7 linked regions of the Ovis aries genome follow. The protein of the gene in region 1 purifies or fractionates together with the protein of each later gene. This does not show direct contact. Links are inferred from orthologs where the notes say so. Each region holds a gene or a part of one and is shown in the gene's direction. Other genes may lie near its edges.

Region 1 (3,834 bases):
TCTAGTAGAGGGTGAGTGCTAATGTGCTCGTAAATTAGACTTTAATTATTCAGCTTCAGATGTTTGTCTGCTAGGAAAGCAGTGGGGTATTGCCTTAAAATCGGGCAGTTGGCATTAAGTCTCCTTCCTCATTTAATGGTGGTGTTGGCTTCCACTTTGAAACGCCTCGTTCTGTGATCTTGACGGATACCTTAGACTTCATTGTCCTAAATCTTTGATGACTCATCATGTTAAAAAAAATATTTGAGGTAGGAGGATATATTTTTGGTGGGAGGACAAATTCAGTTATTCAGGCTTCAAGCCTCTGAGTCTCTCTAGTTACCCACCCAGCACCCTTCCCCTCTCCATTGTCTCCCCTGTGTCCAGGCAAAAGCTGAGCGAGGTTTTAACTCATTGCCATTACCTGTCACCTGAACTGGTGACTGAGCTTTCATATTTGGTCACCTTGCACACAGCTGGCAGAGAACCTCCTCTGATTATGGTAGGACCACGAGCCTTTGGGAGCCTTCTGTTGCACCCTGAGTTAAGGAAGAAATCCAGTTTTCAGAATAGTTTCAGCCAATGCTAGCCTTTTTCTTCTCAGTATCTTTGCTGTTGCTTTTATTTCCTGCTACAGAGCCCTCCTATTAAAAGTCCTTTTTGTTTTCCAGTGGCGTGTCTTCATGGTACTCCTGTTAAACAGATGTGATTTCTTACCTATTTTGTCAGAAAAAGTCTCTCTGAAGCGTCCTTACAGTGAATCCACTCCAGTTTTTACTGTTCATTCTGTCCATGGCATTCTTTATTAAGAACCATTTCATTAGACATATTTCACTCAAGATTTGTAATACATCAAGAAAAGTACCTTTTTCACTTGTGACTTGAATCTGCTTTGAACAGTGTGCTCTACTGTTAAAACTGGGGGAGTTAGTATCAAGAGACCTTGCAATTCAGTTTTCAGTATGTTCTGACTTAAATGTCTCAATGCTTCCATTTTCTACTCTTCCAAACATGGAAAGTGGTCTTTCTTTATCTCTTAGGAATAACATTAAAGACACCTGAGTTTTCAGCTCTCCTTTGTAATCCAAAGGTGATTACAGTATTTGTATCACTCTTGTTTATGGAAGAGTATCACTTTAATAATCTTGGGTCAAAATTTTAAGGGATTTCTGTTGCCTCTACATGTGTATCTTCTAAAAATCTCTATATCTTAATGCCCTCGTAGCCTATTGAATATTTTAAAATATAAGCACAAGCAACCTTTGTTTGAGGACCTATTTAAAACTGGTTATTTTAACCAGAGTACATGATATAAAGCACATATCTTTAGCAGTTTAAATTCCAAATTCTGGCTTGTTTCGTTGAGACACTTCTATTGAATTTTCTCCCTAGTCATAAAGGTAATGTGTGTTCATATTAAAATTTTGGGAAATGGCAGAAAGAATAAGGAAAAAATTGAACTTTTTCAAAATATCAATGTTACTACCTATTAACATTTTATACACACTATGCACACGGGCATCTTATTTCTAAAATCAAGATCTTGTATGTATTTTGAGTTTGCCATGTGTTCTACTAATTTTTTATCTTTATCTTCCTCTGCTTCATCTTCATTGTATCTAGCTATAATACAGTAGTTTTCAAACCGCAGGACGCCAAGGTGCTCCTGGGTCCCTCATAGGTGGGGGAACCAAACAGGCAGAATCTAAGGCTTTCCAACTTCCCGTCCCAAGCAAAGTAACTCAACTTTCATGTGTTCATATAGCACATGAGGTTTGACATAGCATGTATTTATTTTGAAAACAGGTGGTTTCTGCTTAAGAAAAAGAAAAGTTTTAATGGCCACTGACTTTTTATGTATTGTTTTCCCATGATTTTAAGCTCTCATACATTTTTTCCTGTTACACCCGCAGAGTCGTTAGCGGTTCTCGAGATGCCACGCTTAGGGTTTGGGACATTGAGACAGGCCAGTGTTTACACGTGCTGATGGGTCATGTAGCAGCAGTCCGCTGCGTTCAGTATGATGGCAGGAGGGTTGTGAGCGGAGCGTATGACTTCATGGTGAAGGTGTGGGACCCAGAGACAGAGACCTGTCTGCATACGCTGCAGGGCCACACCAACAGGGTCTACTCACTGCAGGTAAGAGGCTGCGCGCGCTCGCTCCTGTGGCGCTCTTGTAACCAGTCATAATACTGTCTTAGTCCATAATCACTTCAGACTGCTGATCCAGTACAGTCCAAAACAGATGAATTATTCTGCTGTTTACATTTACTTTAAAATTGGCACGAAGAAAGCATACATGTTGAAATTATTTAAATGATTTGTTTCCATTTTTCTGTGAGTCATCTTCCTCTAAAATATAAATATTGGTCTTGGAACCTGAGATTTTGGGGCTCTAAATTTTCCTGTTAATGGGGAGATAGTCTCATAGGAAAATAGCCTGGATTTTAATAAACTCCTTAGCACAGGATTAATTTGGCCAGAAGCTGCCCCGTTGCCTTGATAGCTGGAAGTTGACGGACCATGTAATTGTGATTCTGCCCCCATTCAAAGTGGAAGTGGAGCTTTGGGCACAAAGCTGCTCTGCTGCCACAGGGCTGCTGGGTTGTGGTCATAAAGAAGGAAATTTGTCTTAAACATTTTTGGTTTGTTTTTGTTTGAACCTGATATCCTAGAATAGATTGCCATATTTTGACATAAATAACTAGATTATTAGCAGGTTTAAAAAATAGGTCTTGTTTTGTTTCCTGAAAGACATTAAAAAATACAGTTGACTCTTGAACAGTGTAGAGACACTACCCTCCACCACCACTCCAGTCAAAAATCCTTGCATAACTTGGCCCTCAGTGTCTGCAGTTCCACATCCAAGAGTTCAGCCAACCTGGGACTGTGTAGTAACATAGTAGGTATTGAGCGAAAGAAATTTTTAAGTGTAGTGGACTCTCCCAGTTCAAACCCATGTTGTGCAAGGGTCAGCTGTATTTGCTATTAGTAATACTTACATAGCTTGTTTACCAATTACTGCCCACTAGTGATCAGCAAATTAGTACATGGTCCTAGGGCTCACAGTTCTGTCCTTGGAGTATTTGTTTCTTCATGGGATTCTGTCTATGTCATGAAATATTGACATAAAATAAAGATGGCTGTTAACTTAGAAAAGGTTATTAATTTGGAGGAGAGGGAATTGGCTGCAGTTGTCTGTATGTTTTGTGATGTGTTCAGAACCTTAATGAATATAACAGCCTCATTTAAATAAACCCCTTAGATTGAGAAAATAGGTAGGAACTTTAAATCGATCTGGGAATTGGTAGATGTTTGTTGACTTCTGGTCTAGCTGGGAAGCTGGAGAAGAGTACCATAGATAGTTTGCTTTGGTTATCAAAATGCCACCACTTCTAATTCTAGATTAATTATCTGTTGGCACAGTTCCTACCTAGCATTAGGTTCCTGTAAGTGAAATTTTTATTTTACATACAGTTTAATGGAACTTACTTTGAAGTATCATGAGAGTTATCTCTAGCTCTTTCCGTGCCGTAGATGTTGATAAGCACACCTTGTATCATAAACCACATCAGTAGTTTCACCTTCCCGTTGGGAAGTAAAACTCCAATGGTAGTCCATATCGAATCATTCATAATATGTAGCTCCTAAGTGTGGCCAGATGGTCTGACAATAATACGTTCATTGTGCTTTTTTAAAAATTGTTTCTGCATCTAGTTTGAGGCCACTGGTCATGAAAAAATTCGCGTTTCTGATAGAAGCTTCTGAGAACATGCACTGGGGAGTCGTTCGGTTGCATGCAGCTTACCCTGGTACCTCATTTTGTTCCTGGCATTATCTGTTTCTCATGCTTTG
Region 2 (3,834 bases), on another chromosome or scaffold:
CTGTCTGAAGTTCTATGAAAAAGCTAGGTGATTCAATGACATACTATCAAGCCCCCATTTCTTCCATTTTGTACTGGTCACCATAAGAAAGGCTCACGTAATTAATTAGCAATATCAGACAGGCTTCCTTACAGTTTACAAACATATGAATAACCCCTGATAACTAGTTCAGCTTCTTTGGGTACTCTAAACATCACATCTAATCATTAGTTCAGATTGACCTATCACACAGTTGATGTAGAACTGTGATGGCTTAGGAATGTTTTTTGTAACATGTGCTTCTGTGCACTAAGCCGCTTTAGTCATGTCCAGCTCTTTGTAGCCCTGTGGACTGTAGCCCACCAGGCTCCTCTGTCCATGGGATTCTCCAGGCAAGAGTACTAGAGTGGGTAGCCATTTCCTTATCCAGGGGATCTTCCGGACACAGTGATCGAACTCAGGTCTCATGTCCCTTGCATTGGCAGGCAGGTTCTTTGCCACTAGTGCCACCTGGATGCTAGATTATTAGACAGTGTGTAACTGAAATTGCTAGGTTGATTATATTTTAGATTCTGTGGTTGGTCTAAATAAATTGAGGATGTGGGAACAAAGAACTCTACAATAGGCATGTCAGAATCAGTGACCACTGAACCTTTTAAAAATGTCCCTATAGGAAACGACGATCACTCCCGAACAGATAATCGTCCACGTAATCCAAGAGAGGCTAAAGGAAGAACAGCAGATGGATCCCTCCAGGTAAACCTATGTGCCTCTTTTCATCCAAATTGTCCCAGTTACATAAGTTTGAGATTTAGGTGAATTTGCCATACTATATAGGTATTTGTGAAATACTTTCCTTTCAACATTACATTTGTGGTCAATTTTAGTCCTTTATGACAAGTATACAAAGAAGATGTATCTAAAGAATGTGCAGTCTCAGTATTTGTAAAGATTTCGACAACCACATTATGACTTAAGTACCACATAGGTAATCCTCCCTACCCCCATTCTCCAAGGAAAGAAACATCCAGGAATGTACTGAGAGAGACTTGTATAAGCCCTGAGGAACCCACATCCCTTCTCACCAGAGTTGCAAGGATAGGGTGTCCTCTTTGACTGGAAAGTAAGAAAAAGAAGGTATCTAGCTCACAATAGACAGGGCTGATGACACTTGGCTAGTACATGCTGAATCAGTCAGCTGCCTATTTAGAGCCAACCTCTACCCTGAGAACGCATCTCATGTGGCCAGCACCTGTGCTGAACACATTGTTAACATAATTTTAAAATGAGCCCCCAAGCACAGCCAGGTATCTTGGCTGGGTGTATTGTATCTCACTTAATGTTTCAACAGTACCCTGAGGTAAGAAGTTCTATTATTCTGTTTTATAGGTGAGTAAACTGAAGTTTAGAAAGACTGAGTCACATAGTTAGCATACACTAGAGTGATATTTCAGAGAAGGCAATGGCACCCCACTCCGGTACTCTTGCCTGGAAAATCCCATGGACGGAGGAGCCTGGTAGGCTGCAGTCCATAGTGTCGCTAAGAGTCGGACATGACTGAGCGACTTCACTTTCACTTTTCACTTTCATGCATTGGAGAAGGAAATGGCAACCCACTCCAGTGTTCTTGCCTGGAGAATCCCAGGGATGGCGGAGCCTGGTGGGCTGCCGCCTATGGGGTTGCACAGAGTCAGACACGACTGAAGCAACTTAGCAGCAGCAGCAGAGTAATATTTGAACCCTGGTACCTCATTCCCAGAACGCATGATCTCTTCGGCTGCTTCTTTAACTCTGAAGACTTAATCCAAGTAGTTGGGGGTCCCTTCATGACTATGGATTGGTTTGGGACCAGTACCTAGAATTAGTGAGACATAAATTTTAAGAGCAGAAACTTCATGACAGAATATTCCTTAGAATTCATAGCATTTGTAGAAAGAAAGAAAGAAAACGAAGTCGCTCAGGTGTGCCTGACTCTTTGCGACCCCATGAATAGTAGCCTGCACCAAGCTCCTCCGTCCATGGGATTTTCAAGGCAAGAAGTACTGGAGTGGGTTGCCATTTCCTTCTCCAGGGAATCTTCCAACCCAGGGATCGAACCTAGGTCTCTGGCATTGTAGACAGATGCTTTACCGTCTGAGCCACTAGGGAAGTCCTAGCATTTATAAGTAGGTGTTAACTATTAGCTGGTGCTTAAGGATCATCACAGAAAATATCTTAGACCTAGAGATTGATGAAATTATAAGGCGTTTATGTACCAGTTTCATATTTCCCCTGTTGACAACCAAACAGTTAAAACACTCACCCAGGACCAACAATTAAACACACTTTGAAATTCGAGTGCACCATTTTGGGACTATAGGTAGTCCCATTTGTACTTGAAGCATATCAGTACTTTCATTAATTGTTTTAGGCCTGTGTGTCAACATTATCTTTCTTTTGTACAGCATCTACAATTGCATTAGCAGTGTTAAGTGTTCAGTGCTGGCACTTAAAATATTATATAAATCTCAGAATATTATTTTTTAAATCATATCCATCTCTATTCTCTTCCTGGGATTCCAGTTCTCCCACGCATTAGTGTCTTCAAATTTCCCTGTACTATTCTTATTCTTCAGAGTTTAAGTTGTATGATCTCTGATTTTCCTTACGGTAATATAAGCTACTAGAAACCAGTGCTCATATGAGTATATATAGTGTGTGTATATATACATATATATGAATATATACAGTATGTGTGTATATTTATATACACACACATGTTGTAAGACAAAGGGAGCCCTCAGTGTAGAAAAAGTTAATCATACTTACGATAGAAATGAAGATGTCAACTAAAGACTAGTTAATAAGTGAGTTAAGTTATTGCTCTGGTAACGTCAGAATAGGAAGACAATAATTTGTCTCTCTCCTCCTGGGTTTCATATCTTTGAAGAATAAACCATTTTTTTGAACAGACCTGTATATTTTGCATATATATTTTGCAATCCGTAATAGGAGTTCATTTTAACTATTTGTTTCTCATTGTTTTGTTCTACTTAGAAGAAGACACAGTAGGATTGTGAGTTTTTATCTAACTTTGGATGCAGTGAGATGACCAAGGTGTTCCAGTTACAGAAGAAGAGTGTTTTAGAATCATAAACCAAATAAAGCTCCTACCTGACCTTAATTTCTCACACTTCTTCTATTCAAATCCCTTTTAACATGTGGAATATACACTTTGGGCTTAAATTTCTTGTCAGGCCAATTGCAGATTACAACAGAATATGGTCTGTGTATATAACAACTATAACTTGTTTTAGATCAGAGTTGACTGCAATAATGAAAGGAGTGTCCACACTAAAACATTACAGAATACCTCCAGTGAAGGTAATCGGCTGCGCACGGGTAAAGATCGTAACCAGAGGAAGGAAAAGCCAGACACCGTGGATGGCCAGCAACCACTTGTTAATGGAGTACCCTAAACTGCATAATTCTGGAGTGATATATCCCCTATACCATTTCCATAATTCTTATTCCATATTAGAAAACTTTGTTAGGCCAAAGACAAATAGTAGGCAAGGTGGCACAGGGCATGAAATGAACAATTCCGTTAAGAATTTTGCTTTTTTCACATTGGCCATAAGCAGCAATTTTCAAATTTGCACACAATGAGGTCTTAAAATTTTTGAAACATTACTTTTAAATAATTAAGTATACTTAGCACTTCAGGACAGGATTTTCATTTGGTTTACTTTTTAAATACCGCGCAGTTGATATTCTTTGTTAATTTGGACCGTTTACCCTGCATTGGGTGATAACTCACTGGTATATTTCAGTTTTTCTGAATAATAGCATTTATGGTAATCATATTAGACTTCT
Region 3 (3,834 bases), on another chromosome or scaffold:
TGAACATGTTAATGGAGGACTAAAGGAATCCGAAAAATTGCCTGATGAATTGATACTATTGCTACAAGATCAGTGCACTAATTTATTTTCGCCTTTTGGAGCTGCAGACCAAGATCCCTTTCCCAAAATTGGTGTAGCTAACAATTGGGTACGTGTTGAAGAGCGGGACTGTTGCAATGACTGCTACCTTGCATTAGAACATGGGCGTCAGTTCATGGATAACATGTCAGGAGGCAAAGTTGATGAAGCACTTGTGAGAAGTTCATGCTTACACCCCTGGTCCAAAAGAAATGGTAAGTATGCTAATGAAGTAATTTTTCCTCTCTATTTTGTTTCAGTTGTATGACTTTTCTTTCTTAGAAAAAGGTAATAAAGACAGTTTCCCATTTAGCTAATAGAGACACTTAAATTTGCACTTAAAACTCCTTCAAGAATGACACTTTTAAAGAAAGAACTTCCGAGTAGTTTAGTTTAATTTCAGCAACAAAAGTATGGTTATTACAAGTCTGTAATTATGTGCTTGTGTAGGAGTATAAAAGGTACTTTGCACATGTTAATTAACAGAAAAATGTTGGTTGTCTGCTTTGTTCAGAATTCTTTCACTCATTACATATTTATTGAGCAACTAGTATGTGCCAGGGACTGTTCTTTTATAAACTGCAATATTAAAGCAAGCATAGTTCCTACTCTTTCTGAGCCTATAAGACTCAAAATAACAAATTTAAGTGAAAGTATTATATGGTATCAGATAGTGACAACTGCTTTGAAGGAAAAGCAGGGAAAGAAGTGGAAAAAGACAGGACAGAAATGTGTTACTTTAGAGGTATGTTTAGAAAAGATACTACTGAGGGACAGCATTTGAGCAAAGACCTACATAGAATGGGGGAATGTAAGCTGTGTGGCTAAACGAGAGAAGTGTTTTCAGACGGTGCAAAGACCGTAGTAGTGTGCTTAATGTTTGAGAAACAGGAAAGAGGCACTGTTGTTGGAATGAGCTGGGTGATGGGAGGACTGGTAGCACCAATGTCATGTGGAGTCTTATGGCCCATGTTTAACTGTGGCCTTCATGATTTATTCCAAGATGACTAGGACAGTTTTGAGCAAAAAAGTAAGACGATCCTTACTTACCCAAATGCGTATTTGGAAATACAAGTTTTAAATTGAGAGGAGTGGTTGGGGCTAGAGATTTAAAAATTTTGTGTGTGTGTATTAGTAGTGTTTTGGGGTTTCCCAGTGATAGCTCAGTGGGTAAAGAATCCACCTACAGTGCAGGAGACATAAGAGATGTGAGTTCAGTCCCTGGATTGGGAAGATCCCTTGGAGGAGGAAATTGCAAGCCACTCTGGTATTTTCCAGGCATGGACAGTGGAGCCTGTTAGGGGGTCGCAACCCTTCCTCCATGGGGTCTCAAAGGGTCAGACATGACTGAGCATGTGACGCCTACATGGCCCCTGTCAGTGTTTTAGACTGTGGAGCTGCATGGAACAGCCTGGAGAGTGACTGCAGGTAGAGAAGTCTAAGGGTAGGACTCACGTTTAGAGAGGGGGAAGAAGAGGAGGGCCCAGGGTAGGAAATTAAGGAGGTATGAAGAAGACCAAGGAAGTATGGTATACTGGTGGATTTAATGTATCTATAGATACAGATTTAATACATAGATTTTTAAAGTAGTAATTAAGAACATAGGCCATGGAACTGACTACTTGGGTTTGAAACGTGGCTCCATCACTATAATTTATGCCCTTGGGCAAATTATTTCATCTCTGTCTCAGTTTTTGGAAATAGTCAGTGATAGTATTTACCTCTTACAATGTTGAGAGAATCAAATGAGCTAATACAAATAAACAGAGACCATATAAAACAGAGTGCCTGGCACAAAATAAGAATTCAGATACTTGCAGTAGTAACAGTAGTAGTAATAAGAGTAGCATTAGTGGTATTCTGTTTTATTATTTGTTTTTAAGAACCAACTCATCTTCTTGTGATGAAAGGTCTCTTCACAAGAAAATAGAATTTATAACAGTATTTGTTGGTGGATGTTAGCTGGACTTACTGTGGTGATCATTTTGCAATACATATGCATCATCATTTTGTACACCTGAAACTAATATTATGTCAATTATACCTCAAAAAAAGAAAAAAGCACGTATTTGCCAAGCAATAGAAAATGCACGATAATGCTCAAAATCCTTTAAGCTAGGCTTCAACAGTACGTGAACTGAGAACTTCCAGATGTACAAGCTGGATTTAGAAAAGGCAGAGGAACCAGAGATCAAATTACCAACATCTGCAGGATCATATAAAAAGCAAGAGAATTCCAGAAAAACATCTGCTTGATTGACTACGCTAAAGCCTTTGACTGTGTGGATCACAACAAACTGGAAAATTCTTCAAGAGATGGGAATACCAGACCACCTTACCTGCCTCCAGAGAAACCTGTGTTCAAGTCAAGAAGCAACAGTTTAGAGTTGGACATGGAACAACAGACTGGTTCCAAATTGGGAAAGGAGTACATCAAGGCTGTATATTGTAACCCTGCTTATTTAACTTATATGCAGAGTTCAGTTCAATTGCTCAGTCATGTCTGACTCTTTGCGACCCCATGAACTGCACCATGCCAGGCCTCCCTGTCCATCACCAACCCCCAGAGTTCACCCAAACCCATATCCATTGAGTTGGTGATGCCATCCGACCATCTCATCCTCTGTCGTCGCCTTCTCCTCCTGCCCTCAATCTTTCCCAGCATCAGGGTCTTTTCCAGTGAGTCAGCTCTTCGCATCAGGTGGCCAAAGTATTGGAGTTTCAGCTTCAGCATCAGTCCTTCCAATGAATGTTCAGGACTGATTTCCTTTAGGATGGACTGATTGGATCTCCTTGCAGTCCAAGGGACTCTCAAGTTCAAAAGCACCACAGTTCAAAAGCATCAATTCTTCGGTGCTCAGCTTTCTTTATAGTCCAACTCTCACATCCATACATGACCACTGGAAAAACCATAGCCTTGACTAGATAGACCTTTGTTGGCAAAGTAATGTCTCTGCTTTTCAATATGCTGTCTAGGTTGGTCATAACTTTGCTTCCAAGGAGCAAGCGTCTTTTAATTTCATGGCTGCAGTCACCATCTGCAGTGGTTTTGGGGCCCCCCAAAATAAAGTCAGCCACTGTTTCCACTGTTTCCCATCTATTTGCCATGAAGTGATGGGACCAGATGCCATGATCTTCATTTTGTGAATGTTGAGCTTTAAGCCAACTTTTTCACTCTCCTCTTCACCTTCATCAAGAAGCTCTTTACTTCTTCACTTTCTACCACAAAGGTGTTGTCATCTGCATATCTGAGGTATTATTTCTCCCGGCAATCTTGATTCCAGCCTGTGCTTCCTCCAGCCCAGCGTTTCTCATGCTGTACTCTGCATATAAGTTAAATAAGCGGGGTGACAATATACAGCCTTGACGTACTCCTTTTCCTATTTGAATCCAGTCTGTTGTTCCATGTCCAGTTCTCACTGTTGCTTCCTGACCTACATATAGGTTTCTCAAGAGGCAGGACAGGTGGTCTGGTATTCCCATCTCTTTCAGAATTTTCTACAGTTTGTTGTGATCCACACAGTCAAAGGCTTTGGCATAGTCAATAAAGCAGAAACAAATATATGCAGAGTAGTACATCATGCAAAATCCCAGGCTGGATGAAACACAAGCTGAAATCAAGATTGCTGAGAGAAATATCAATAATCTCAGATAAGCAGATGACACCACCCTTATGGCAGAAAGTGAAGAGGAACTAAAGAGCCTCTTGATGAAGGTGATAGAGGAGTTTGCTGGCTTAAAACTCAACATTCAAAA
Region 4 (3,834 bases), on another chromosome or scaffold:
TGTGTGTGGCTCTAACTCCTGGGGGTCCTAGGTAAGAGCACTCAGACTGGGCCAGAAAGCCCTCCGATTCCAGGGGGAGAGAGCCAGGGGTCCCGTTGAAGGTCTCTGGTGGGCTCTGAATATCTGGGTGAATATGGTGAGCGGTTCTCCAGCAGTGCTGCTCAAGCCTCTCTCATCAGCGTCGGTAATTTGATTTGATTATTCCTTCTAGGTGTCTCAAAGGCTGTTGAGCACATCAATAAAACTATTGCGCCTGCCCTGGTTAGCAAGGTAGGACCTGCCTCCTGATGACTAATGTATATTAATGCTATCAGAGCGCCGCCCAGTCCAGGCCGGGGGGCTTCCCTGTTTACAGAAGAGCTTATTCTGAGAGCTAAAGAAGCCGGTGGGCTTCCCTGCATGCGAATTTTGGCCTTTGCTGACCCGCCCTCTGCCTGCGTGGCCATGTCTAACAGAGCATGGAACTGGATCTGAGGGTCAGGAGGCTCCAAGAGCCTTGATGTTCCCCAGCAATGATCTTGACCTCTTGGGAGTTAAGATCAGATTTTAAGGGTGGCTCCCAGGGGTGTTGAATGTAGTACCTGTGGTGACTGACTCATTTTTCATGAGCTGTGGAATTACTTACTATATGTTTAAACAGCAGAACTCTTGTTAAATAAAATCCTATTTGGAGCCTCAATATGGCAAACAGATATAAGTAGAGTTGTTGTAGAGGAAGTGAGGCTGAGGATCTCACAGCCCAACCTGCGCAGCTATTTTTTTGTCTCTTGTATCCTCTCTCCAGCCCCTCCCTCCCAGATTCCTATGGCCTAGCCTGGCCTCATGTGTCCTCCCTGGCGTGATCCCTCTCCCAGCTCCACTCTGAGTGCCCATAGCAAGTGGCACCTCTGCTGGCTCTATTCCCAGCTTGCCTGCTGTGGCCGGCCCATGTGGCCCTCTGTGATTGGTCCCCAGGCAGAGTTTCCATCACTGCTGTGCCATTCCAGCCTCCCAGCCCCCTCCACGCACCCCTGTTCTTCATTGTGCCTCGGTACCCTCAGCTGGCACAGCTAACTTTCTTGGACATTTTCTTTTATTGGTTACTCCTGGTGGGTGTTGTCCTTGAGCCAACTGCTGGGGTGACGTCTAACTTTACCCAAAGTTGCCTTGACACAAAAGTTAAAAGATGCCAAAGTGTTAACAGGGTTTGATGGACTTAAGAGATTTTTGTTTTCTTTTTGTATTTTAGTTTTTTAATAAGAAAGATGATAAATAATTTGCTGTTGTGAAGTTTTTAAAGTAATGTTGACTTTTATTTCATTACTTTGAGCCAGTTTTTAAGATGCCAATTTGGTTACTTGATACTCTCACCAAAAGTATTCATTTTGGTCAGTTATCAGACATTTTGGGGACTTCTCTGACATTCCACACTCCCAATGCAGGGGGCCTAGGTTTGATCCCTGGTCAGAGAACTAAGGTCCCACATGCCACACACAACCTGGCCTAAAACATTAAATAAATAAAGTTGTTTTTTTTTTTTTTGGCCTTGTGGACTACCTACAAAACTTGTATCTCCCATCAGATACTCAGACATCCTCACTGAGGACCGCTGAGTGACGGCAGAAGCTGACTTTGATGAGCACGGCTCTTCAAATAAAGAATGAGTTCTGTTGTTCTACGGCCCCCAAAGTCACAGTGCTGGGAGAAGCACCTGATGCTCTTAAAGCCTGTGATGGGCAGTATTGTGTCTCCCTGTTTGCTCCTGACGTGGATAAGCACAGAACTGACCTGGGCTTTGCTGGTGGCTCTGTGACAGGAGGGCCCAGGGCATGCGGGTAGAAGCACCATTCCGTCCAGGCAGCTCACCCTCCTTTCTCCCTGCAGAAGCTGAACGTCGTGGAGCAGGAGAAGATCGACAAGCTGATGATAGAGATGGACGGCACAGAAAATAAGTGTGAGTGGCCCAAAGGGAACCTTTGCAGGATGGCCATAGCTTCTCCTAAAGACTCTTGAAGTCCCTTGGGGAGAGGTCATGTCGTCCCTAACGATGAGTTATGTGACCAGATAGCTGTGGTCCTTGCCTCATGTTCATAAATTACATCTTTGAATATCAGGAGTACAGCCAGCTGACAGCAGCAGGTGTTGAGGGTTACTCAGAAGAGGCCTGTGCTTTAGATAGTGTAGCAATTTGCAGAACTTTCTAGAGTTCCATAGACCAAAGAACGGGCTTTCTCTTTCGGTGAAGAGCAGATGAGTGTATGTGGGAAGGAGGCTGTTGCATTTCTGGTGTGATAGAGATGAAGAGGTTCGGAATACAATCCAGGGCTCACACAGTGGTGGTCCAGGCAGGAATGCCAGCTAGAGGAAGGCTGGTGGGTAAGATATACCTTCATTTAACTCTGTTCTGTTCCAGCCAAGTTTGGTGCAAACGCCATCCTGGGCGTGTCCCTGGCTGTCTGCAAGGCTGGTGCTGTGGAGAAGGGGGTACCCCTCTACCGCCACATCGCCGACTTGGCTGGCAATGCCGAGGTCATCCTGCCAGTTCCAGTGAGTAATTGCTTTGAGCTTCCCGTGTGTGGAGGAGGGAGTGTTTGCTTTCTCATGGGGACCCAAGAGCTCCCGCCTCTCCAGTTCATCCATATGTGACCCTCCAGCACAAGGGTACAAGGGGGCTCTGGGGGTCTCGGCTGCAGACAGCTCTGCCAGCGCCGGCTGACAGCGACCTTGAGCGGTGGCCCAGCTGCCCTGCACCCATCTCCTTAGTTGTCGATGGGAGAGGGACTCTGCACTTGCCTTGTTGGATTATGTGCACCTGTGGCGGTGGCTGCATTGCAGTGATGGCATGGGCTCCATGCAGGAGCTGGGCATTGGGGGCTGCTGGGGGCAGAGAGACCCTCCGGGCCGGGAGCTATACTCCTCTCTCTCCCCACAGGCTTTCAATGTCATCAACGGTGGCTCTCATGCTGGCAACAAGCTGGCCATGCAGGAGTTTATGATCCTTCCTGTTGGGGCCGAAAACTTCCGGGAGGCCATGCGCATCGGAGCAGAGGTTTACCACAACCTGAAGAACGTCATCAAGGAGAAATACGGGAAGGACGCCACCAATGTGGGAGATGAGGGCGGCTTTGCCCCCAACATCCTGGAGAACAAAGAAGGTAGCAGCTCCAGGGGAGCCCCAACCCTGGGCACCGCAGCACCCCTCCCACCCCCACCCCTGGTCTGCTGCTTTTCCACCTGCCATTCAAGTACCAAATTGAAAAACCCTTTGTGATTTAAGAAACTAGCACTTCCTTTAAAAAAGAAAGAGAAGTTTTCTTATTAATTTGACTTCTAAATGGCTGGATGATTTGCTTATACCATCCTTGCTCCTAAGCGATGGCAAAAGTGTGCGGCCTGCTCCCTGTTTAAGGATACTGGCATGCTGAGGTTTCAGGTCATTCAGCCGCAGTAATGCCGTACATGCTTTGTTTCACTTTGAATCCTTAGATTGAGAGTTGAAGAGAGGATACAGAAGTCTTAGGAGAAGAATTCATGGCTAAATTTTTTGTTTTAGAAGAAAAAGTTAGGGTTGCAAGCATATTTCATGGGCTTCAGGGATGGTTAGTGAAAGGAAATGTCCATCCTGACCTTTGGGTCCATCATACACAGTAGCTGACATTCGACTGTTTTAACTTATGAAAACTCAGCCATCTCATGTGGTTTGAATTCGGGCGCCTTTGCTGTGCAACAGTAGCCAGTGTCTTGGTCCGTATCCCTACAGGCAGTGCTTCTGAGTGAGGCCGACCCTGAGCCTGGACCCGGACAGCAGAGCCTCAGCGTGGGGCTCCCTGTCAGTCCACTGGGCTCCCTTTTGGA
Region 5 (4,574 bases), on another chromosome or scaffold:
TGGGAGACTGAGATGGGGAGCCAGTTGTGAAAGTCGGGAAGAGTACAAAGGGTCAGCTGCACTGTTTTCCTTCTCTAGGGGCATGGAGCTCCTCTGCACTGTGGGTGGCTGCTGCCCTCTGATGGGCACAGGACCACAATTTCTTTGTGTTCTGTAGGGAAGGTCTGGGTCCAAAGCATCTCCAACTTAACACTGTAGAGGGTGTCCCAAAGGGATGCTGGAGCAGCCTTCTCAGGATTCTTTCCCCAGTGCACACTGCAGCCAGGACTGGGAAGGTGTCCCCACAGCTAGGGCCCTGACGCTTGTAACTTAGACTCTGGGTATGAAATGTTTATTTCTAAGGTGGTGAGGGGGCAGGAGAGGAGGAGAAAATAAAGGAGAAATGTGGAGTTCCAAATCAACTTTATTCAAAGTGTTCAGTTTCCTTTGTCTATTTGTCTCTGTTTATCCTGGATGGAATTAACCCATGCCCTTATAAATCTGATTCATATTTCAATACTTCCTCTGCTGAGTTATGTGTTTAAAAGTAACTGTGGCATTTTCTTTTAAGCATAAAATACTTCAAGTTAGGGTTTCATAAATCTAATGTTAAACATTTTCCCTTTCCCCTCATCGCTATCAACCAGTTATCCACCAATCCAAAATGTGTGGAAAGTAGATGGGGTTTGAGGAGAAAGGGAAACCTTTTCACTGTACCTTTTGTACTTTTTGAATGTTCTACCTGCCCTGTGTTCAGGTTATACCGTTTAAAAGTAATTACTAAAAAATCACATTGGGTACTTTTGTTCTGTACAAATATTCTGCAGGGTGCTGCAGTCTTGCACACAGGTCAGTTCCTGAACCCAATGGGGTAGCAAACACTGTCTGTGTTCCAGGATCCAGGAGCACCCAGATCTCCTGGCCAGTGAGATTACACAGCCTTGGGTCCATCTAATAAGCTGACCTGAGGAAAGCTGTCTCTGGGAAGACCTGGGTTCTAGGTCTGTGTAATCTGGATGTATTGCTTGTTCGGGGTGTGTTCTCTTGTGATCTTGCATGGTGCAGGCTTTGGTTTACTTGTAAGTTTTTTTTGTACTGATGTTTGTCTATCTCCACAAGACTATTCTCCATGAAGGCAGGAGCCCTGTCTTTTTTTAGCTCATCAATTTTATCTTTAGTGCCTGGCACATGGTAGGAGCTCAGTAAATATTTTTTGAAAGAATGATTATGTGTGACCTGTGTGCCTATTTGAACCTTAATAGCTATAATTTGTCAGCGAAGTGTTAAAGGCACAGATACAGTTATCTGTTAAAGTGTGACAGATGTCTCATATTCTCTGAGAACTGGAGATTTGTTCGAATGATATATGACTTGTGTTGACTTGCATTATGGCTGTGTTTTATGCATGTAATCTGGGTGTTCCTGGATCCTGGAACACAGGCAGTTTAGAAAATATTTATTAAACATCCACTGTATGTCAGATCCTGTTGACCCAGAGCAAAAACAGCTTCTCTGGCCTGCCCTGCTGAGTTTGGTATCGATCCCCAGCAGGTTAGATTGTAATAAGCCTAGAAACTAAGCCAAGCCAAATTTCCCTACAGAGGCGGGGGCGGTACTTGGGTTAGGGGGTGGAGCCTCGCTCAAGAAGCTCCGCCCTCAGGGGGCACGATTTTTCTTCCTTTCCGGAATGGTTTTTCCCTTTCTACGACGTCTTCCTCCGGACTCTTTTGAGTGACGCGCACTTCCGGAGTCTCACGGCAACTTTAGTAAGCGTGGTCCGCTTACTAAAGCCAGTTAGTTGACTCGCGTGCGCGACCTTGCGTACGCGTTTCTCGGCCTCATGGCCGGACTAACCCTGTTTGTGGGCCGCCTCCCGCCCTCGGCTCGCAGCGAGCAACTGGAGGAACTATTCAGTCAGGTGGGGCCGGTCAAGCAGTGCTTCGTGGTGACTGAAAAAGGTAGGGGGCGGGGCGATCGAGAACAGAGTTGGGGTTCCTGGGAGCCGGATGGAGGCAGAGGACATTCTCCCAGCCTTAAGTGAGCCCTTAAATGAAAGGCCTTGGAAGTTGAATTTTTTTCCAAACGGTCTCTACACTAGATAAATCCATAGGAGCCGTTTCTGAAAGTCAAGTCAGCCCCTTAAGTTTATGTTAAGTCGCTCAGTCGTGTCCGACTCTTTGCGACCCCATGGACTGTAGCCCACCAGGCTCCTGTTTATCATTCGCGCTCACATACAAGATCTGATTTATTAGTGAATAACTTAATAAACGTGATGGACAGAGTGATGGACAGGGAGGCCTGGCGTGCTCCAGTCCATGGGGTTGCAAAGAGTCAGACACGACTGGGCGACTGAACTGAACTGAACTTGGTAAAACACCACTAAGACTTACTGAGAAGCAGCTGATTGCCGGGTACGGTGCTTGAGTTTCATCTGTGCTGCTGCTGCTAAGTCTCTTCAATCGTGTCCGACTCTGTGCGACCCCATGGACTGCAGCCTACCAGGCACCTCTGCCCGTGGGATTTTCCAGGCAAGAGGACTTTCATCTGTAAGCTCCTTTAATTTCCCCATCAGTCTTTTTTTGAGTCGAGAGTAAACTCTATTTTACAGATGAGAAATCTAGGGCTTAGAGAAATTTAGTAACTTCAGCTTAAGTTCGTATTGCTAGTAAGAATTGGATTCAGAATTTGATCACCAGACCCGGAGCTCTTAACCAATATGTTATTCATTCCCCCATTTATGTATTCCGTAAATATTAATTGGATGTTTATACTAGGTTCCAGGCAACTGTTGTAGGTCCTCGGGATACAGTAGTGCACAGACCAAATTCAGAATGTGGAAGATGGGCAATGAGCAAAATACATAGTGACGATGGTGATAGATATTGAGGAGAAACATAAGTCAGGGAAGAAAGAAAGGGAGTCTCTGTAGTGTGTGTGGTGGTGGTGGGGAAGCTGTAGAAGAGTGAAGAATAGACAGGGGAAACCTTACTGATGTGAGAGAGTGAACTTGGGTTTCTCAGTGCGAGGAACAGCCTAGGCAGAGGGAGCTCAAGGATACTGAAGAGGAGTGTGTGTAGTATATTGGAGGAATATAGACGAGACCAGGGTTACTGGAGTGCACTGAGTGAAGGAAAGAGAATTAGCAGATGCCACCTGGTCCTTCCAGATCATGTAGGATCTTACAGGCCATCAAAAGGACTTTGACTTTTACTCTGAGATAGGAAACCACTAATTTTGAGCAGGGAGCCGTGAATATGATCTACCTTGCATTTTGAAAGATTCTCTGAGGCAGCCATGCTGAGAATAGGCCGTTGAGAATAGGACAGGAGCCAGGAGACCAGGTATTAGGCTCTTGTGGTAATCCAGGTGAAAGGTCATGGGGTTGGACCATGTGCTCTAGCAGCGAAGAAGGTAAAACATGATTGGAATATGGATCAGATTTGGGGTCTGAGAAAAAAAGTGTCAAGTCTGACTCCAAGGGTTTTGACTTGAGCCGTGGGAGGTATTTACTGACTTGTGGAATACTGCCATATGCCTCTCATTGTATATGATATTCATGGCATCACTATGAAGGAGGGTTAGCATGTGTTAGAATGAGTAAGAATTGTAAGGATTTTAATTGTAGAAGCATTTCTTCTTCTTACTTAGACTGTATTACATGACACCTGATGTTGCCCAGAACACAAATTTAGCTTCCTTCCAAGTCATCAATCTGTTGCAGTAGGTGGCTGCCTTCTTGCCTTTCAGGCTAGCAACTGGTTTGAAGTAATATCTTGGGTACCCCTCTTTCCCCCCATGGTACCAGAGTGTGTGAGTAGGCAGGCTAACAGTGCGCTAATAATCATGCCATCATTATCTTCTGTTTTCTTAGTAACAGAAATTAGATTTAAGATCATTGACATGGCTCTGATTGCTATACACACAGCTGGGGCCTTTATCATTTTAAGTATAGATACCGGGCAAATGAGAGAATGAGAGTGCTGTACAGCAGTGTTTCTTAAACGGCAGATCATTGTCCATTTGTGGGTCTTGCGTGGCTCATGACTTGAGTTTGTTGTTGTTGTTGTTGTTTTTTTAATGAAATAGGAGTATATCTATATATGGTAAAGGAGAAGTTTTCATAAGACTTTTTTTTTTTTTCAGTATATAAACAACTGGGTCCACTGTAAATTACATTTGTTACTGTGGGTCACCAAACCAGTCTGAGAAACACTGCTCTACAATGGTTGGTTGTATTCCAGGGAAGAGCAGGCCTTTGAATAGGAATTCTCCTTTGGGTCCTGAGAATATAGGCTTCGTGTAACCTTACCTGTAGCTGTGTACATAGTCAGCATCTTTAACAAAAGCTCCTATTCCTTTTAAACAGCAACAATAAAAAACCTGCTTTCCTGTCTAGACAGCCAAATGTATTGAGTACTCCACTTCAAAGGATGGGAGAGAGGGGGTGGCGGATGAGATCTTACCAGTAGTGGTGACTTGAACGTGCCACTTACCCTCTTTAAGATGGGAATAATTTCACAGTATTGTTGTAATTGTTTGTAACAGTGGTGTTTTTGTGAGCACATGCTTTTATTTTGTCAGCGAACTCCTTCACG
Region 6 (4,427 bases), on another chromosome or scaffold:
GGTTGGAAGATCCCCTGGAGGAGGGCACGGTGCCCCACTCCAGTATTCTTGCCTGGAGAATCCCACGGACAGAGGAGCTTGTCAGGCTGCAGTCCATAGGTTCGCAGAGTCGGACACGACTGAAGCGACTTAGCACGCATGCATGCTGTTATTCTCGTGTAATGTCTAACTTTATGCTTGTTTAGTGCCTCACAGTTTTCAAGGTGCAGTGAGTGTTTAAGCATTGAATAAGGATCTTTTGGAGGGACACAGATATGTAGCAAATACTTCCAGGAAGTTAGAGAGATGGAGAGAGAGAGAGGGAGCGGGAGACAATGACAATGTGTGTGTGTGCGCGCCCTCGGGAGGGGAGAAAGTGCTGAGCACATCACTCGATGCAAAACCAGCTTAAAGGAAGCCTGCGGTGGCGGAAGGAGACAGTATCCCGCTGAGACTTGGGAAAGCTTCTCCATGCTGGTCTCTGGGAGAGGCACACCACTTCCTCAGTTGTGCTGGGGGACAGCATCCTTGTTGGTTGGCTCACAAAGATGTCCGGTGACTGTAGCAAAGAGAACTAGCTCCCTGGGGAGGGGATTCCTTCCTAGGACCCTGACTGGGGCTCTGGGCTCTTGATTGCTGTTACTGGCTCCCTGGGCGTTAACAGTTGTCCCGGTATTAGCAGGTCCACGGTCCTTACCTTGGGAACAAGGCCCTCCCTAACGGAGCCCCACCAGTCGCTCCAGCTTCCTCTTCGGCCTCCGCTTTTAGCTCCAGGAAGACCACAGCGTTCGCAGCTGTGCGATGCCTCGGGGCCCGTGGGCACCCGCTCCTTCCTCCCGCCGAATTCCTCATTCCTCCAGCCCCAGCTGAGGCTCTCCGCATCCCGGGATCCCTTAACCCGGCCAGGGCCGGGGGAGCGCTCTTGCGCGGCGCTCCCACAGTCTTGTTCTGGAAGTCGGGGCACCCGCTCCACTGCGTCCTCCAGATAGGGGAGGGTAGCAAATGCACAGGCCCGCCTGGCCTCCAGGGGGCAGTCCGGGGACTTGAGTGAGCGAGGGAACGACTGAATGACCAGGTGGCTAAGGGAGCGGGTGGGCGAGTCGCTGAACGAACGAGCGGATGGACCAGCGGGCGGACGACCGAGGAAGTGGGCGGGCGAGCGGACCAGAAGGTGAGAGAATAAATGGATGAGTGAGTGAGTGGGGGCCTGAGGGAAGGCAGCTGGGGGCTGACTGGGCGGGCGAGGGAGCGGCGGACGCTGGACGCTGACCGCGCGCCTGGGCCGCGCCACCTGCCCTCCGCGTGGCAGCCGAGCCGGGGCGGGGCGGGAAGAGGCGGAGAAGTGGGCGTGGCGACGTCGGGAGTGGGCGTGGCGGACCCGGGGCGTGGGCGTGGCGAGGCCGAGAGCGGGCGGGGCAGGCCCGGGGCGGGCGGGGATAGGCCGGGAGTGGGCGTGGCCAACCCTGGGCGTGGGCGGGGCGAGGCCGGGCCCAGGCCGGCGGGCGCGGAGGAAGTCACGTGGCGAGCGCTCACATGACCGGCGGCGCGATGGACCGGCTGCCCACCGCGCCCGGAGCTGCAGCTGCTGAGGCAGAGGCGGACGAGGAGGCGGACCCGCCAGCGGCAGGTATGGCAGGCGCCGCCCCCAGGCCCCGCGCGGCTCCGGCCCGCGCCCGCTGAGGCCCTGCGGCCTGCGGCTCGCTTCCTGGCCCCGGACTCCCCGCGCCTGCTGGGTCCTCCCCTCTCACGGCCCCTCCCGGTCCACGCCCAGGAGGGCGCGTGGCTCCGCGGCTCAGAACCCCAGCACCTGTCCGGGTTTGCGCCTCTCCGCGCGCTTCTGCCTGCGTCTCCCCGGGACTGTCCGGGCCCCTCGGGGCCGCAGGACCCGCCCGCCCTGCGCTTCCTGCGTGCCCATCTGCCCTCCGCGTGTCCCTGGACTTGCCGGGCCTTGGCACATACTGCGGCGGCTCAGGACTTGAGCGTTTCTTCGGCCAGCCCGCCGTGTTTCTCCGTAAGTGCTTTTCTTAGTGGGTGAGCGTGAACGCTGAGAAGCACGCGGGAGGCTTGGCTTTTCTCGGATGGTACCCCCTCTAGCCTTCCAACTGGAGGATACATGTGGGTGTGAGTTATTGCAGCTTCTTGGTGGTGGCGGCGGCACAAGTTGGAAACTCCGTTTGGAGGGTCTGGAAGGTGTCCCTGAGAAGCTCATGCTTAAAGTGAGCCCTGAAGGGCTGTAAGACGGTTGATTCCTTAGGGAGAAAAGGAGATGGGAGTGGAGTGAAGTTGCTGGGGGCTGCGGTGGGGGTGGACAGTGCTCTGGGTTGGCCTGAGTGCCCTGAAGACCCTGGGTGAATCTGCCTTTAGACACCAGACCCGCCGCTCCCCACCCTTGGCCTTCATTTCACTTGTAGCTTTGTAAGGGGTAGCGTGTGACGGCTTCCGCTCACGGTTAGAACGTTGTGTTCAGGAGGTCACACGTTTGAGCCCAGCGTGGGCCGGTCAGCCAGCCTGTTTCAGGTGCCCACACTGGACTCCTTGTCCAGGTCACTTTTGGAAACATGAGGCGTTTGAGCAGGAACGCTTCTTCCCCTGGGGATGTAAAGCAGTTCGGAGTTGCTGGATGTGGTGGTCGTTCTGGCCTCTCTTTGCAGGTGCAAGGACAGCCTGAATGTTTCCTGCAGGACTCACCCACTGGCCGCCATCATGGAGTCAGCCAGCCCCGCTGTCTGAGACTGGCAGCTGGCCTTGTTAGGGGCTGTGGTGATTTTGTTAACATTAGGCGTCCAGTTGAGGGAGGTGGCATGGTAGAGGAAAAACACAACACCAACCAAAAAAAGCACTTAAAAAAAAAAAAACAAAACTGGGAAAGCTAAAACCCAGAGGTAAGTGGCCTGCCCACAGTGGGCAGTATTAAGAGGGTATGTTGTGGTGGGGATGGTGGTTAGATGGGGTGCAATCAGAAAATACGTCTTTGAGAGTGAATTTTATCCAAACACGATATTCACTAGGGAGGAAAGGAGATGGGAGTGGAATGAAGTTGCTGGGAGCCGGGTGGGGGTGGACAGTGCTCCGGATTGGCCTGAGTGCCTTTAGACACCAGACCCGCCGCTCCCCACCCTTGGCCTTAATTTTTCCTTTCACTTGCAGCTTTGTAAGGGGTAGCGTGTGACGGCTCATGCTCATGGTTAGAACGTTGTGTTCAGGAGGTCACACGTTTGAGCCCAGCGTGGGCTGGTCAGCCAGCCTGTTTCAGGTGCCTTTGCTCAAGCAAAGGTTGATTTTGACTGTTGAAGAAGCTGTGGCTTGTGGAATTCCATCTTCGCTGGTGTTCTGCCCACACAGCCGTAGCTCACTATTAGTATTAGCTGTGGGGACCATGGGGGTCTAGGTTTTTGTAGTGCCTTTGGGATTGTCGGAAAAAACGATGTTCACTGTGGTTTTCAGGCTTAATGTTTAAAAAAAATTTTTTTTAAGTTAATTTTTTTTTGGCTGCCCTGGGTCTTTGTTGCTGAGAGAGGGCTTGCTCTAGTTGCGTGGAACAGGGGCTGCTCCTCCTTGCCGTGCGTCGGCCTCTCCTTGTGGTGGCTTCTCGCACGGTGGAGCACAGGCTCTGGGCACGGAGGCTTCAGCCGTTGCAGCAGGCTGGCTCGGTGGCTGGGGCACACGGACTCCAGTTGCCCCACAGCATGCGGAGTCCCCCCAAACCAGGGATCCAGCCTGTGTTCCCTGCATTGGCAGGCAGATTCTTATCCCCTGTACTACCAGGGGAGCCCCAAGAATCATAGCATATTCTAATCCCTGGAAGCTTAAGCGGGGAGTGTTAACTCCCTTCCTAAAAATTTAACTTTCAATTTTACAATATGTAGATAATCGCATTTCCCTTACCAAAAAAAAAAAAGCAAACACCACTGAGAACAGTGTAGATTGGCACTCACCCCCCTCTTACCAGCCTGGGATGGACCCTCTCATGCTGTTCCTGTGTTTACACTCGTGTGCTCAGACAGTGCATGCCTCCTCGCGCCTCCGCGCGTGTGTTTCCCTACGGTCGTATATTGGTTTTCTGCTGCTGCTGTAACAAAAATGGCCCCACACAAAGTGGCTTAACCAGCAGAAAGTTCTCATTTTACAGTCCAGGAGGTCTGTAGCCAGAACAGGTTTTCCTGAGCTAAAATCTGGCTGTGGGCAGGGCTACGTTCCATCCTGAGGCCCTGGGGGAGAAGCCGTGTCTTGGTCTTTCCCGCCTCCCAGATGCCTTCCGCATGATAACCCCTTGCTCCAGCTGCCCCAGGCTGCGCCGGCCTGTCCTGTCCTGTCTCTGACTCCTACTTCTGTCCACTTCTTCCACTTCTAAGGGCTCCTCGGGTCACACTGGGCCCACCTGGTCACCCAGGAGGACTCTCCCAGCAACCTGAATTGTGTCGGCTTTGAGTTCCCCTTTACTGTGTGGT
Region 7 (4,615 bases), on another chromosome or scaffold:
ACTTAGTAGGTGCCTCTCCATAGAGCAAGGATTCTTAACCTGAAGTTCATGGACCCTTAGAGGATATGTGAATAAACTTCAGGAGAGGGCCTAAGAATCTCCCTACAAAGTATCTAATCTGTATCAGTTCAGTTCCCTTCAGCTCCCAGTCTGGACTCTTGGTGAACCCATGAACCACAGCATGCCAGGCCTCACTGTCCATCACCAACTCCTGGAGTTTACCCAAACTCATGTCCATTGAGTTGGTGATGCCATCCAACCATCTCATCCTCTGTCATCCCCTTCTACTCCTACCCTCAACCCTTCCCAGCATCAGGGTCTTTTCAAATGAGTCAGTTCTTCCCATCAGGTGGCCAAAGTATTGGAGTTTCAGCTTCACCATCAGTCCTTCCGATGAACACCCAGGACTGATCTCCTTTAGGATGGACTGGTTGGATCTCCTTGCAGTCCAAGGGACTCTCAAGAATCTTCTCCAACACCATAGTTCAAAAGCATCAGTTCTTCAGGGCTCAGCTTTCTTTATAGTCCAACTCTCACATCCATACATGACTACTGGAAAAATCATAGCCTTGACTAGACCCTTGTTGACAAAGTAATGTCTCTGCTTTTTAATATGCTGTCTAGGTTGGTCATAACTTTCCTTCCAAGGAGTAAGCGTCTCTTAATTTCATAGCTGCAATCACCATCTGCAGTGATTTTGGAGCCCCCCAAAATAGTCAGCCGCTGCTTCCACTGTTTCTCCATCTATTTGCCATGAAGTGATGGGACCAGATGCCATGATCTTCGTTTTCTGAATGTTGAGCTTTAAGCCAACTTTTTCACTCTTCTCTTTCACTTTCATCAAGAAGCTCTTTAGTTCTTCACTTTCTGCCATAAGGGTGGTGTCATCTGCATTATCTGAAGTTACTGGTATTTCTCCCGGCAATCTTGACTCCAGCTTGTGCTTCTTCCAGCCCAGCGTTTCTCATGATGTACTCTGCATATAAGTTAAATAAGCAGGGTGACAATATACAGCCTTGACATACTCCTTTTCTTAGAAAGTATCTATTTTGTATATCTCTATGCACATTTTTTTTTCTGGGAAGAAGGGCCTTAGCTTCCATCAGCATATTAAAGGGATTGTGAAACACAAGCGGTTAAGAACCTCAGTGATGTACCATAAAGACCTTGAGGGATTAGAGCCGACCTTTCAGGATTTAACACGTGCTTTCTCATGCATATGTAGTTTCTAATCTTCGCAACAGTCCCTTAAAGGAGGTGTTAGTAGTATACCTATTTTTCAGATGCAAAAACGAAGAAGCGGTTGAAAAAGGCAAGAGTTCCTACAGACGATCTAGCCCTTATTCGAGGCCGAGAACTGAGAGAGGCTCAGAGAACCCAGTTCCAGTAGGAGCTCATCGCCTCGGCCGCCTCCCACCTCGCAGGTTCGTATCCCCAGCGCAGCACACGACTGGCGGTCGCTGCAGGAATCTTGACTGAGTGAAATCCACCTCCCGTGGCGGGCGCCGAAAAGCTCCGGGGGCGCGGAGCTCCGCCCCACGCCGGGCTGGGCCCGCCCCTGCCGCGGTCGGTATTGTCAGACGGTTCCCGGCGTCCCTCGGTTTCCCTCGGTAGTTTCCGGCAAAGATCGGGAGTTTCTAACGTGCCCCTTGTAGTCTCTCGGCTGCCGTCCTCGCCACCGCCGCCCCTCTTTTCGGCTCCCTCTCCCCTACCCACCCCCCCCCCCCCCCCCGCGATCGGCCCGGCTGGCGCCTCTGTCGTTACGGGCTGAGCAAGATGGCGGCCTTCGGGATCTTGAGCTACGAACACCGGCCCCTGAAGCGGCCGCGGCTGGGGCCTCCTGATGTGTACCCTCAAGATCCCAAACAGAAGGAGGTGAGTTCAGAAATTCGGGCTCCCAGGGGGCCAGGGGCCAGCGATCGGCAGAGGAGGAAGCACTGATGGCTGGGGGAAGCGGGGGCGGGGCGGCTCTGTGGGAGTGCAAGTCCCGAAAGGGGGAAGAGTAAAGTGGACTGGTATCGGAGAGTAAGACCTGGGGGAGGTGGGGGCTGGTTTCTGGGCTAGAACCGGGAGTGATGTTGGGGCCACGCTGGAGGCGCCCCCTCTACACACACACACACCTCAGAAAGTTGTCTGAGGCGGCTGGATGAACTAAGGCTGCTTGTAAACTCGCAGGGGAAGAGTGCTGTTGAGGGAGCTCTGGGGATTGGGAATCTTATTACTGTGGGGGTGAGGGGGTCCAAATTAATATAAGAGATTATTTTAAAATAATAATGTGCTATCTACTCCCCAATCATTTTCCTATTTTTTTCCACCCTTGTTCCCTTCTCTTCTGCCCTCTTCCACCACCACCACCATCTCCCCCAAGGAAGGAAAAAGCTAAAATGTTGTTTTCCTGCCTCAGGATGAATTAACGGCCTTGAATGTAAAACAAGGTTTCAATAACCAGCCCGCTGTCTCTGGGGATGAACATGGCACTGCCAAGAATGTCAACTTTAATCCTGCCAAGGTGAGACAACCCCATCAGGCTGAAGGAAAAGGCTGGAAGAATCTGAGAGGGAGCAAAGACCCTGGGCTGGGAAGACGTAAAGGGATGACCTAACTGGCGGTGTTTTCCTTTGTAACCTAATGCTACCACACTGGCATTTGCCCATCAAAGGCACAGCCACCTTTCTGCTCTGTCTTCCCACCCTGAGGTGTAGCTTTCTTCCCTCAGATCAGTTCCAACTTCAGCAGCATCATTGCAGAGAAGTTACGTTGTAACACCCTCCCTGACATTGGTAGAAGGAAGCCCCAAGTGAACCAGAAGGACAACTTCTGGCTGGTGACTGCACGATCCCAGAGTGCCATTAATACTTGGTTTACTGATCTGGCTGGCACCAAGCCACTCACACAACTAGCCAAAAAGGTGAGGTACTGTTTCCTGTTCTTTAGACCAAAGGGGGGAACGTGAGTACCAAGTACCCTCTGATTTTCAGATTGAAGTACACGGGTGTCAGCTCACTGGGGTGAGAGAGGTCTCACTGTTTGCAATGTCCATTCAGGTCCCCATTTTCAGTAAGAAGGAAGAAGTGTTTGGGTATTTAGCCAAATACACAGTGCCTGTGATGCGGGCTGCCTGGCTCATTAAGATGACCTGTGCCTACTATGCAGCAATCTCAGAGACCAAGGTTAAGAAGAGACATATTGACCCCTTCACAGGTGAGTAACTCCTAATACCAGAGGACGTACCACTGATCACTTCAAAGAGTGGTGGAGAAACCTTGAAATTACTCTCCTTCCTCATCTATATTCCTTGCTTCTGCTTGTATCTTGCATTCACTCAGTTAGTAAACATCAAGTGTCTTGAGTATCTACTGTATGTGTGCTGCTGCTGCTGCTAAGTGGCTTCAGTTGTGTCCGACTCTGTGCGACCCCATAGACGGTAGCCCACCAGGCTCCGCCATCCCTGGGATTCTCCAGGCAAGAACACTGGAGTGGGTACTGGGCTATAAAGATAATCACTACCTAGTCCCTGCTCTTAGGATGCTTATAGTCTAGTAGGGATGCTAAGGCCACTGTACAAATCCCATAATTAAATATAGAAACATAGTGTCAAAAGTGGAGGCAGGGGCTTCCTTGGTGGCTCAGTGGTAAAGAATCCACCTGCCAGTGCAGGAGACATGGGTTTGATCCCTGATCTGGAAAGATCCCACATGCCTCAGAGCAGCTAAGTCTGTGAGCCACAACTATTGAGCCTGGGCTCTGGAGCCCATGTGCCCCAACTACTGAAGCCTACACACCCTAGAGCCCGTGCTCTACAAGAGAAGCCACTGCAGTGAGAAGCCTGTACTCCACAACTAGAGACTAGCCCCACTTACCACAACTAGAGAGCTTGCGTGCAGCAATGAAGACCCAGAGCAGCCAAAAATAAATAAATAATATTATGTAATATAAAAAAGTGGAGGCAGAAGTTTCTTTGAGACTTCAGTGAACAGAAAGGTTATTTTCTTTTGGGGATACCTGGAAAGGCTTTAGGAAGGTGACATTTGTTTTTGTTTTGTTTTGTTTTGTTTTATTTTGTTGAAGTATAGTTGATTTATACTGTTGTGTTAGTTTCTCGTGTACACCAAAGTGATTCAGTTATACATATGTGTGTTTATCTATATTCTTTTTTGCATTCTTTTCCGTTATAGCTTATTATAGAATATCGAATGTAGTTCCCTGTGCTATGCAGTAGGACCTTGTTGTTGAAGGTGGCATTTGACTAGAGCCTATATGGGGATGAATAGGATTTAGAAACATGGTGACTGGGAGTGGGGGTGGGGGACAGAAGGTGTTCTAAGCAGAGGGACACTGTAAAATAGCCATCTTCCCATCTTTTTTCTAGAATGGACTCAGATCATCACCAAGTGCTTATGGGAGCAGCTTCAAAAGATGGCTGAATACTACCGACCAGGGCCTGCTGGAAGTGGGGGCTGTGGCTCCACTATAGGGCCCTTACCCCATGATGTTGAGATGGCAATCCGGCAGTGGGACTACAACGAGAAGCTGGCCATGTTCATGTTTCAGGTAGGAAGGAGAGTGTGTCGTGTGGCTTGGATATGAGCCTGACCTCATACTCTGCCAACATGGA

What was found.
Region 2: the proteins of FBXW7 (region 1) and FMR1 purify together in Homo sapiens (affinity purification with mass spectrometry, with the first as the bait; 3 studies listed by BioGRID). This does not show direct contact. The link is inferred for Ovis aries from reciprocal best matches to the Homo sapiens genes FBXW7 and FMR1.
Region 3: the proteins of FBXW7 (region 1) and MED13 purify together in Homo sapiens (affinity purification with mass spectrometry; 5 studies listed by BioGRID and IntAct, with this or other methods). This does not show direct contact. The link is inferred for Ovis aries from reciprocal best matches to the Homo sapiens genes FBXW7 and MED13.
Region 4: the proteins of FBXW7 (region 1) and ENO1 purify together in Homo sapiens (affinity purification with western blotting; 3 studies listed by BioGRID, with this or other methods). This does not show direct contact. The link is inferred for Ovis aries from reciprocal best matches to the Homo sapiens genes FBXW7 and ENO1.
Region 5: the proteins of FBXW7 (region 1) and RBM28 purify together in Homo sapiens (affinity purification with mass spectrometry, with the first as the bait; 3 studies listed by BioGRID). This does not show direct contact. The link is inferred for Ovis aries from reciprocal best matches to the Homo sapiens genes FBXW7 and RBM28.
Region 6: the proteins of FBXW7 (region 1) and SNX8 purify together in Homo sapiens (affinity purification with mass spectrometry; 3 studies listed by BioGRID and IntAct, counting the BioPlex papers as one, with this or other methods). This does not show direct contact. The link is inferred for Ovis aries from reciprocal best matches to the Homo sapiens genes FBXW7 and SNX8.
Region 7: the proteins of FBXW7 (region 1) and MED12 purify together in Homo sapiens (affinity purification with mass spectrometry; 3 studies listed by BioGRID and IntAct, with this or other methods). This does not show direct contact. The link is inferred for Ovis aries from reciprocal best matches to the Homo sapiens genes FBXW7 and MED12.

Annotation. Positions count from the first base shown.
Region 1 is NC_056070.1:5,524,322-5,528,155, forward strand, and holds part of FBXW7 (F-box/WD repeat-containing protein 7), read left to right. Parts: intron 1-1,892; coding exon 1,893-2,118; intron 2,119-3,834. UniProt on the Homo sapiens protein: Substrate recognition component of a SCF (SKP1-CUL1-F-box protein) E3 ubiquitin-protein ligase complex which mediates the ubiquitination and subsequent proteasomal degradation of target proteins.
Region 2 is NC_056080.1:87,701,051-87,704,884, reverse strand, and holds part of FMR1 (fragile X messenger ribonucleoprotein 1), read left to right. Parts: intron 1-652; coding exon 653-735; intron 736-3,015; coding exon of another isoform or gene 3,016-3,030; exon of another isoform or gene 3,031-3,275; coding exon 3,276-3,437; 3' UTR 3,438-3,834.
Region 3 is NC_056064.1:10,801,579-10,805,412, forward strand, and holds part of MED13 (mediator of RNA polymerase II transcription subunit 13), read left to right. Parts: coding exon 1-293; intron 294-3,834. UniProt on the Homo sapiens protein: Component of the Mediator complex, a coactivator involved in the regulated transcription of nearly all RNA polymerase II-dependent genes.
Region 4 is NC_056065.1:43,928,675-43,932,508, forward strand, and holds part of ENO1 (alpha-enolase), read left to right. Parts: intron 1-211; coding exon 212-270; intron 271-1,863; coding exon 1,864-1,933; intron 1,934-2,392; coding exon 2,393-2,526; intron 2,527-2,911; coding exon 2,912-3,134; intron 3,135-3,834. UniProt on the Homo sapiens protein: Glycolytic enzyme the catalyzes the conversion of 2-phosphoglycerate to phosphoenolpyruvate. In addition to glycolysis, involved in various processes such as growth control, hypoxia tolerance and allergic responses.
Region 5 is NC_056057.1:94,238,548-94,243,121, reverse strand, and holds the start of RBM28 (RNA-binding protein 28), read left to right. Parts: upstream 1-1,708; 5' UTR 1,709-1,819; coding exon 1,820-1,937; intron 1,938-4,574. UniProt on the Homo sapiens protein: Nucleolar component of the spliceosomal ribonucleoprotein complexes.
Region 6 is NC_056077.1:41,309,924-41,314,350, forward strand, and holds the start of SNX8 (sorting nexin-8), read left to right. Parts: upstream 1-1,510; 5' UTR 1,511-1,512; coding exon 1,513-1,606; intron 1,607-4,427. UniProt on the Homo sapiens protein: May be involved in several stages of intracellular trafficking. May play a role in intracellular protein transport from early endosomes to the trans-Golgi network.
Region 7 is NC_056080.1:63,829,260-63,833,874, forward strand, and holds the start of MED12 (mediator of RNA polymerase II transcription subunit 12), read left to right. Parts: upstream 1-1,545; 5' UTR 1,546-1,776; coding exon 1,777-1,875; intron 1,876-2,404; coding exon 2,405-2,509; intron 2,510-2,716; coding exon 2,717-2,908; intron 2,909-3,044; coding exon 3,045-3,201; intron 3,202-4,369; coding exon 4,370-4,551; intron 4,552-4,615. UniProt on the Homo sapiens protein: Component of the Mediator complex, a coactivator involved in the regulated transcription of nearly all RNA polymerase II-dependent genes.